Linked DNA regions of Arabidopsis thaliana. The protein of the gene in region 2 interacts with the protein of the main gene of each other region in a pairwise test. Each region holds a gene or a part of one and is shown on either strand. Other genes may lie near its edges.

Evidence for each region. The genes of interacting proteins can lie anywhere in the genome.
Region 1: the proteins of GLK2 (region 2) and CRF3 interact in a two-hybrid assay, tested with the Arabidopsis thaliana proteins (one large-scale study listed by BioGRID).

The regions. Positions count from the first base shown.
Region 1 is NC_003076.8:21,617,194-21,621,183, forward strand, and holds CRF3 (cytokinin response factor 3), read right to left. Parts: upstream 2,089-3,990; 5' UTR 1,833-2,088; coding exon 768-1,832; 3' UTR 521-767; downstream 1-520.
Region 2 is NC_003076.8:17,796,618-17,801,463, reverse strand, and holds GLK2 (GOLDEN2-like 2), read right to left. Parts: upstream 3,184-4,846; 5' UTR 3,030-3,183; coding exon 2,583-3,029; intron 2,202-2,582; coding exon 2,061-2,201; intron 1,862-2,060; coding exon 1,526-1,861; intron 1,173-1,525; coding exon 1,083-1,172; coding exon of another isoform or gene 1,038-1,082; exon of another isoform or gene 964-1,037; coding exon 817-963; 3' UTR 538-816; downstream 1-537.

The DNA of each region.
Region 1 (3,990 bases), 3.8 Mb from region 2:
AAACGACCATCATGAATAAAATGTCATATGGATCCCAAAAATCCATCTAAAAAAAACACCTACCACCAACATGTTCGAATTCTAGAACATTGCCACACACTTGTCTTTAGAAAGAGTTCTTGAATGATATTCGAAAATGGTTACAAAAAGTTTGTGATGTGTTTGGAACTCTTTCCAAAACATTTCCATCATAAACATGAATTTCTGATAATGTTCGAATTTAGGATTTGATAGTAATTTTCGGAATAATAAATGATATAATTTTGTGTTCTGTACAATTAATTAATTTACATTTTATTTTGAAGTTTATATTACTGACAAAATTTAAGATTAACATGACTATTACAAGACAAAACACCTCTTCTCAACCAGACCAAACCCAAAGGCCAAAACCTCTCAGTTCACTGGCCACGACCGTAATTTGCGCCTCATAGTATGACTTTACAAAGAGAATGCCACTTTGGCTTTTCTAAAATTAAATAATTAATTAACAAAAAATAAATAAATGCCAAATGCTTTGAAAATTAAACACGTTCGTGCAACTAATAACGCAATTACTTAAATAAATAAAGAATACAGAATAATTAAACTATTTTTCCACTATTTCTCCAAAACTGTTTTACAAGCTCCTGACAAAACTAAATAAATTATTAAAAAAGAAACAAAAAAGCTCATGAACTTATGAAAGAAAAAAAAGTAACACCAAAATTTTTCAGTCACACCATAGATATTTGCTTGATGGTTTCTTCTTCACTCTCATCATCATATTAAGCAACTAATAGATCTGATATCAATGAATCATCAAAATCACTAAACGTTGAACCCATATCTTTGATACTAGAACTTGTTAACTCATCTTCAATGTTCATAGTTTCACCACCCAAGAACAACATATCATTGAAGATATCATCATTTTCACAGAAAATTTGATCCATTGGTTGGTCAAATATTGACATCTCTGGTGGTGATTCATTGAAATAGTTGTCAAGAAACGGAGTATCCAAAGGAAATGAATCGTCTGATTCACCTAAACCGGTATTAAACCCGGTATGCCACCATGGTGCATTTGAAACCCCCGGTTCGGGTTTAGCTGATTTAAACGGTTGTTGTACTTGTTGAATCTCTTCTGACCGGTGATTGAGAACCGAAGTAGGAGATGAGAGATGTTGTAAATCTTCTTCAGTTGATTCAGAACTCGATGTTGTTGGTGTTGGCGTCGTCATAATAACCGGTTTCTCCTCAATAACCGGTTCCGGTTCTTCTTCTTCTTCCTCTTCTTGAGGCGGTATGGAGAAATTAGTTAAAGCGTCCGGTCCACGGAGTCTTATAGCGGCGTTATCATAAACCACGGCAGCTTCCTCCGCCGTCTCAAAAGTCCCGAGCCAAATCCTCCGACGTTGCTCCGGATCTCTAATCTCCGCCGCCCATTTCCCCCATGGCCGTTGTCTAACACCACGGAACTTCTTTATCTGACCGGAGACTGAAACTTTGTTATTAGGACGTTGACGACTCGACGCCGGAGATTGAGTTTCATCGGAGGAAGAAGAGAGTCTCTTTCTATCTTTCATCGAAACTCCGGTGACGACGTTGTTACAGCTAGGCTCAACAGTGATCTCGTTAACGAATCTTTTGACTCTCCGGCGAGGAAACAAGAAATCTTCTTCGTCTTCGTCACTTGATGAATCTGTTGCGTCAGGATCAGTATAACAAATACTAACCTTTTTCAATGACTTACCACCGGAAAGTTTTTCCGATGACTTTTTGGTGTATTTAGTCATTGAAGTCTTGTGCTCTGTGTACTTCAATGGTCGGAAATCAATATATTCGTCCATTACTGTTTCTTTTATGGACTCTCTCTATATTCGCATCAAAATGAAGAATATAAAAGGAAGAAAAGCTTGCGAATCAAGGAAAGTTTCTGGGTTTGTTGAGAGAGATTTCGAGAGAATCAAGAAGAAAATAAAACAAAGTTTGAAGAGATTTATCACGAGATTTTTTGGTAACAAGAACAAAAGATTTTTTTTTGGTGGGTGAGAGAGAAAAACGTGTTATGAAACAGTGATTTTTTTTAGCGATTCGCAAGTGGAGACCTTCTCTAGCTCACTCTTGAAATGCTAATTTATAGGATCTCTTCGGGGTTTTAGCCATAATTATTTTATTCATTTTTACAAAAGTAAACAATAAATTCGAAAACTATATAATATATAATATTTAATATCATTTGATTTCTTTCCTTGTCGAAGCTGTTTCTTTCCGCTCCTCCATCAGTGGCATTTTTCCGTAATTAACTACAAAACTCCAAGGGTAGTTTCGGGTATAAGAGAGTTGTTTAAAAATACGGGACGCCGCATTCATGAGCGCAAGTCGCATGGTGACACGTGGCGATATTAGATATTTGGCTCCTTCCTGTATGTGCTGAGTCAGCGCGTGGCTTCTAGTCTCGAATTTCGCGATTCATGTCACGTGACCCCCAAGATACCCGGTCCCGGTTTTTTTAAATTTTTTTTTACCTTTTTAGTTTATTTGATACTAATAATAAAAACAAATTTACTTACTACTTCTCAACAAATTTTTTATCACTCCACTAGCTTTGACCGACATTAAGTAATTAATGATGATTGTTGAGGGTAACTTCGTCTATTTGAATGCAATTTTTCAACTTGTCACGTACGAATGTTGAGGGTAATAAAATAAATGCGATTTTTTAACTGTTAGGGAAATAAAATAAATGCGATTTTGTCAAAGTTGAATACGTTGTATTATACAATATACATTTTTCCATGTTAGATAATCGAATAATGTTAATTTAGGGAAGATGAATATGTGACTGAGGAAGTTATGTATTTAATTTTAGATATTAAAATGATTTTAGGACGAAAATATCTTTGAATCAATATAAATATGGTAGTTAAATTGAAATGTTACCATTTTACAGCTAGAAGTAACGTGGCGAGCAACCTAGGATTTGCCGCCATTTATAATTCGGTGGTGTGGTACGTCTCTAGGCTTTTTTCTGTACTCTTTGTTCCCTCACTCGCTCTTCCACCACTGCTTGCTATTCGTACTTTCCACGCGCTTCTCAAGTATCTTTTTTTTTTTTTTTTTTTGAAAACTATATTTTTGATTTGTTGTAAAAACAATCTTCTACTAATATCTTTTTGTTGGGGTTTTTACTTGGGTTTAGGGATATCAAAGCTTACTACATCTGTTCCTAATTTTTTGGACTAGTAAAAAAATTATTTTTCTGTTTGGATGGCAATGAGATTTGAAATTATGTTATTGTAAACCAAGATATGATATACTTGCTTTTTAAATAAAAAAAATTATGATTGTATTTTAATTAAGTAGCCATTTTAATTTTAAATTTTACTCTCTCTAGTTCATAAATAGTGTAATTTAGAATCGTTTTTTTCTCGGAAATATGTGATGTTACATTTCTGATATATTAAATAGGAACATTTAAATAACTTGAAGATGTAAAAGACTTTTTGTTGCTCAATAAACATAAACCATGTACATTTGATAGAGAAAATGTGTCAAATTAAAAGCTAGTTTACATACATATAACTTAAACACAAAACACAAACTCTATGCATGTACATATATTAAAGAGTTAAAGACAGTTAAGCCAAAAACAAAACTGGTCTAAATTAACATAGATGCATGATTTAGAACATAATAACATCTTCATACCAACCTGTTACAAACTTTATGAAGCAATCTGCAAAAGACTATCTCTTGCTGCTAATCCGTTACAAACTTTATGAAGCATTCTGCAAAAGACTATCTCTTGCAGCTAATCTGTTTTGATAAACTGTCTTTGAACTCATCTTGATCAATTTGTTGAAAGCCGTTTAAAATCCAAAAATAAATTTAAAGATTTTCATATTATGGTTTCGAAAGTTGAGTAGGCTTTACCAAATTTATTCTATTAATTACTAACTTGCTTGCTTTTTTTTAAGAAAAAATATATCTTGAGTTGTTAAAAGT
Region 2 (4,846 bases):
GCATCATCACTTTGGCTTTTGATTGGTAATCTCTATCGCATGGTACAATATTTAATGCTTTAATAGTTTACTAAACACAAAAGTATATCTACAACTATTCTAGTATTTTTTTGTACTATTGTATTTTTTGTACCTGTATTTTTTTTACTTCTTTCAACTATTCTAGTATTTTTAAAACTTTTTCCGCTTTTTTGTTTTTACCATTTTGTGTCACCAATCGAATCCGTTTGAATTAAGTTTTTTACATGGAACCAATTAAAAGAATATTCGTATATCTAAACTCCAATTATGTGTTGTACTTTTTTTTTTTTTTTGCCACGATATGTTAACATTATCAATTGCAAATTTTTTTATGGACTTTAATTGAGTTTTAAAAATATTTGACTTCTTTGAAATTATAAATAGTCACAATCCATAGCTGTGAAAGTTGGCATTATAAAACAAAATAAGCCATTGAAAAAACACATGCGATATATATCCCGTCTAGTTTTCAATTGTATAAAACTATAAATTGTTGATTGAATAAATGATAGTAATGTTTTAAAATGTTAAGCATTTTTAACCCCAAAAAGTGTTGCATTTAGTCATTTTGCAATGATGCTTCGGGAGTTGAAAGTTAATAAAAATTACAGATTCTGCTATCGAAGATTATAACGATATATTAAAGTTGCTTAACTTCGATACATGCACTCATATAGAGAAATACATATGATCAAGCAACAAGGATTTATCGTCTTTCCCTTGCAAAAATACATAGAAGATACCAAAAAAATGAAGTTAAAAGTTTGAGATTTCGACAAATTTTGGAGATCTTTCTCAAGGAAGAGGAGGAACATTAGAAACTCCTTGACGTTGTAACTCCGTCATAACACCGTCAACCGACGGCGGTTTCAGTCCCAAAGGAAGCGGCAGCCACGGCTTTGATATAACGTCCCCAATAGCTGCATCTATGCTCTCATTCGACTGCAACCGTCAAGTAATGAAATATTGTTAATTATCCAAAATTTATTCGAAAACTTTTTTGGGTTATGTCATAATCAAAATCTAATAAACAAAATTGAAACCAAAAAAGGTGCACTCACGGGATGAATGTCGATGGGAGGATTAGTGGGTCCTAATTGTCTTGTGGGAACACCGATGCTTGAATGATTCGATGATGCCATACCATATCCCTACACATATATACACATAAACCATGATTAGAAATATGTTTTTGTAAAATCCATACATAATTCATAGCTCTAAATCTTTATTAGTTGTCTACATAAAAATGATTCATGATCTTGCAATCTTTTACTAATTGCGTTGTTAGACAAAACCACAATCTAATTCAATGATTCCGTTTTATACTTATATATGTTGCATGTGTTAAAAAGCCAATAGTGTACAAAGACTAGCTTTTTGCAGTGTCATGATTGTTCAACAAAGCTGATTTAGTTATGTCATTTCGATTATTTTTCATGATTTAACCATACAACTAATAATGGAAAAACATGTAACATTTTTACAAATGAATTATTATTACCTGTGGATAGAGTGGTTGCTGATGCCAGTACGGTGGATGACCTGGCCAAGATGCCGGAGCCGCCGCAATGGCCGGCATTGGATACGTCCGATGAGCAGACGCCGGAGTATTAGGCTTGTGTTTTGGCCACGTAGGATGACCCCATACGTGCAAAGGCCTGAAGTGACCATGATGCATTGGTGCCACGTGTGGAGGATAGCCTAAGGCAGGAGCTGTCCACGGCTTCTTCCCTCCTCCTCCTACTCCGGGCACTGCCACCGTGGCATGTCTCCGGAGATTCCAGCTGGCAGCTTCTGCTTCACGCGCTAGTAGATGTTTCCGATGTGACCTATATTTCTATCATTACAAGAAGAACACAACACAAATTAATCTTATTACACAAATCTGAGTTGGTTAGTATTTTACTTGTCTTTTCATAAAAAATTTTGAAGGAAAAACATGTAATCTATAAATTAGGTAATTACTATGTTAGGGGTTATAGCACTTGATTAATTCCTGTTAAAATTAGTTTGTATAGTTTTAGTCTAAAATTTACCTGAAGATGGCTAGCAACGTTGTGACGAGTGAGAGATTTAACGTTCATAATTTCCAAGATTCGAGACGGCACCGCCTTGTCTACCCCTAATTGCTCCACCGCTTGTACAAATTTCCGGTGTAACTCCGGCGTCCAATCCACCTGATTTGCCGGAACAATATATTAATTAATCAATAAATGAAAAGAAAAAAAAGGAATTCATTTTTTTTATAGAAAATTGTCTTACAGTTTTATAAAAAAAAATATTTAGTCCAAATAAACACACAAATTTGTATAGTCCTACTACACAAAACTTGGTTTTGGTCCTAGATCTACTCCAGTTATCAAACTTAATAATAATTGTGTATATGATAAATACACTAATTCACTAACTTTGTAAAAAAAATATTCAGAAACACTAGAAGTTTATGTTTTTTTAATGAAATCCTTAAAAAGGTTGGTGATTTCTTAATGGGATTTTTTACCTTTAAAGAAGAAAAAAAATAAACTAATCTAACATGGATAATTGGGAAATAAACACACCTTAGGTTTTTTCTTAATATCGTTCTCATCGGATAAACAATCTTTACTTTTCTTCCCTTTACGTTTGCCTCGACGCACCGTTTTGTCCCTAAAACCACCGTCACCACCACCACCACCCTCTTGCTTACACACACCAACGTCTCTCTCCGATGTCTCCGATGCCGTCGAAGTGTTACCCTCCATTTCTTGTTCCTCATCTCTTCCGCTACCGGAATATTCCCCAAGAATCTCCGAATCTATCTCCAAATCCGGCAAAACATCGTCTCCATCGAAACCAATGAAAAGATCGTCGTAGTAATCGATTCCATCAAGAAGATCATCGGAAAAATCCCCGACCGTCGTAAAGTCCGGCAAGTCTTCCGTCGTAAAATCTGCGAAATCTGCCGCCATGTAAGTATCCTTTGAGTTGTTTCCGATGAGTACTGGAGCCGGAGAAACAGTTAACATCGGAATCGTAAAAAAATGAAAATTCTAAAGGTTTTTTGAAAAATTTAGAGAAAACAAGAATGATACAGTGAAAGTAGTATATGAGTGTATATATATATATAGACGTGTGTGTCTGAATAGATATAGATAGTTCCAAGGTTTTATTAAAATCTTTTATATGCCGTATATATGTGTTGGTGGATACTGACATGAAAAATAAGTTGTGGTTGAGAGATAGGAGAGAGAGATTTTTAAGTTTTTTTATTCTTTTCGTAAATTTAATATTTTATTTTTGAAAATATTCAATTCAATACCATATTTTATATTCTAGTATAAGTTTATAATTGACAGTTTCCTTTTAAACATTATGGCTGTATTACAATGAATGGAAAAAATTACAAGAGCTATTAAAGATTTAAAGAGTCAAATATAGGAAATGAGAAATATTTTTGTCTATGTATACACTATTGAAATGCTCCTTTCTTGGTTGTCCCAAAAATAAAGAGGAAATGCTTTCTACATTTTTTTAGTATTTGCATAAAATGACAAAACTTTGACGACTAGCAATTAAGCAAATGCGTAAGTATTTTTTTAATAAAAAGTGATTTTTTTTTACATTTTGGAGTATAAGACTAATAATTATTTTGGGAAAAATTCAAAAATACCATTAATATTTTCTATTTATAAAAATATCAAATTTATTTTATCCATTTTCAAAAATATCACAAATATATGGATATAAAAAATTATAGAGTATGTTATAAGAAAGTTTATAAAGTCTCTATAACACATGTTATTGAGTCTTTGTAAAGTTTTGAAATTGTATGAGGTTTTGTACTTTTGTACGTCAAATTTTAAAATGATATTTTAAACAAATTTTCATTAATGCTTTTTTGAAAGTGGCATAAAAAATTGGTGCCTCAAAAAGTTTCCTAATTTTTCACAGTATGTTACTTCTTTTTTTTTTTATGTGGATTTCTTATTCATAAAATTATTTTTTATGTGTTTTACTTACAAAGTATAAAATGTTACAAAATGCATGCTTTTTCGTCTAATTATGCTATTTTAGAATCAAGCGCTACTACTATATAATAAGATTTTGTATAGCTTATATATATATATATATATTTATATATATAATAATAATTTTCTACATATTTGTTTGGGTATAAGTTTTAAGATCCATGATTTTTTTTAAGGAAAACGTTGTAAGAGTCCAATTTATTAAAAATAGTGGTGCATAAAGATAATTTAAAATAATTATTTGATTATTTATTTCACCAAAATGCATTTATCTTTGATGATATTCATCCTCAAAAACCACCAAAATTATACGTGTTTGAACTAATATAATTAAAGAATTGGTATCCTACAAATAATTTATTTAAACGACATTTTATGATAATAACGACAAATAAGAGTAAAGTCTATGATCGGATAGAATGGTTGTTCATAGTAGCAATAATTAATACGGTGTAGATTTCGACATACTGGATTATGGCGTGTATAAGATTTGTCTTGTTTCGGATCTTAACTAACACAAAACCTAAATGTTACATTTATCAAAAACGGTTTTTTACAAGGCGATTTGTTTTCTCCTTGGTTTTTCTTTTAGTTTTATTTTTTACAGAACTGATGTGGATATTCATAAATCATAGATAAAACAATTTATCCTACTATATTATTTGGGAAGTACATTTTAAATGTAACCTTAATTTTTGTAAGTAATTACATAGGTATGCCATTAGAAATAAAATTTTAAAGAGTAAATTAATTTATCTCTTTAAGGATTAAAAAGTCAAATACTAATTTAATTAATTTAATTAATTAAAAACGAA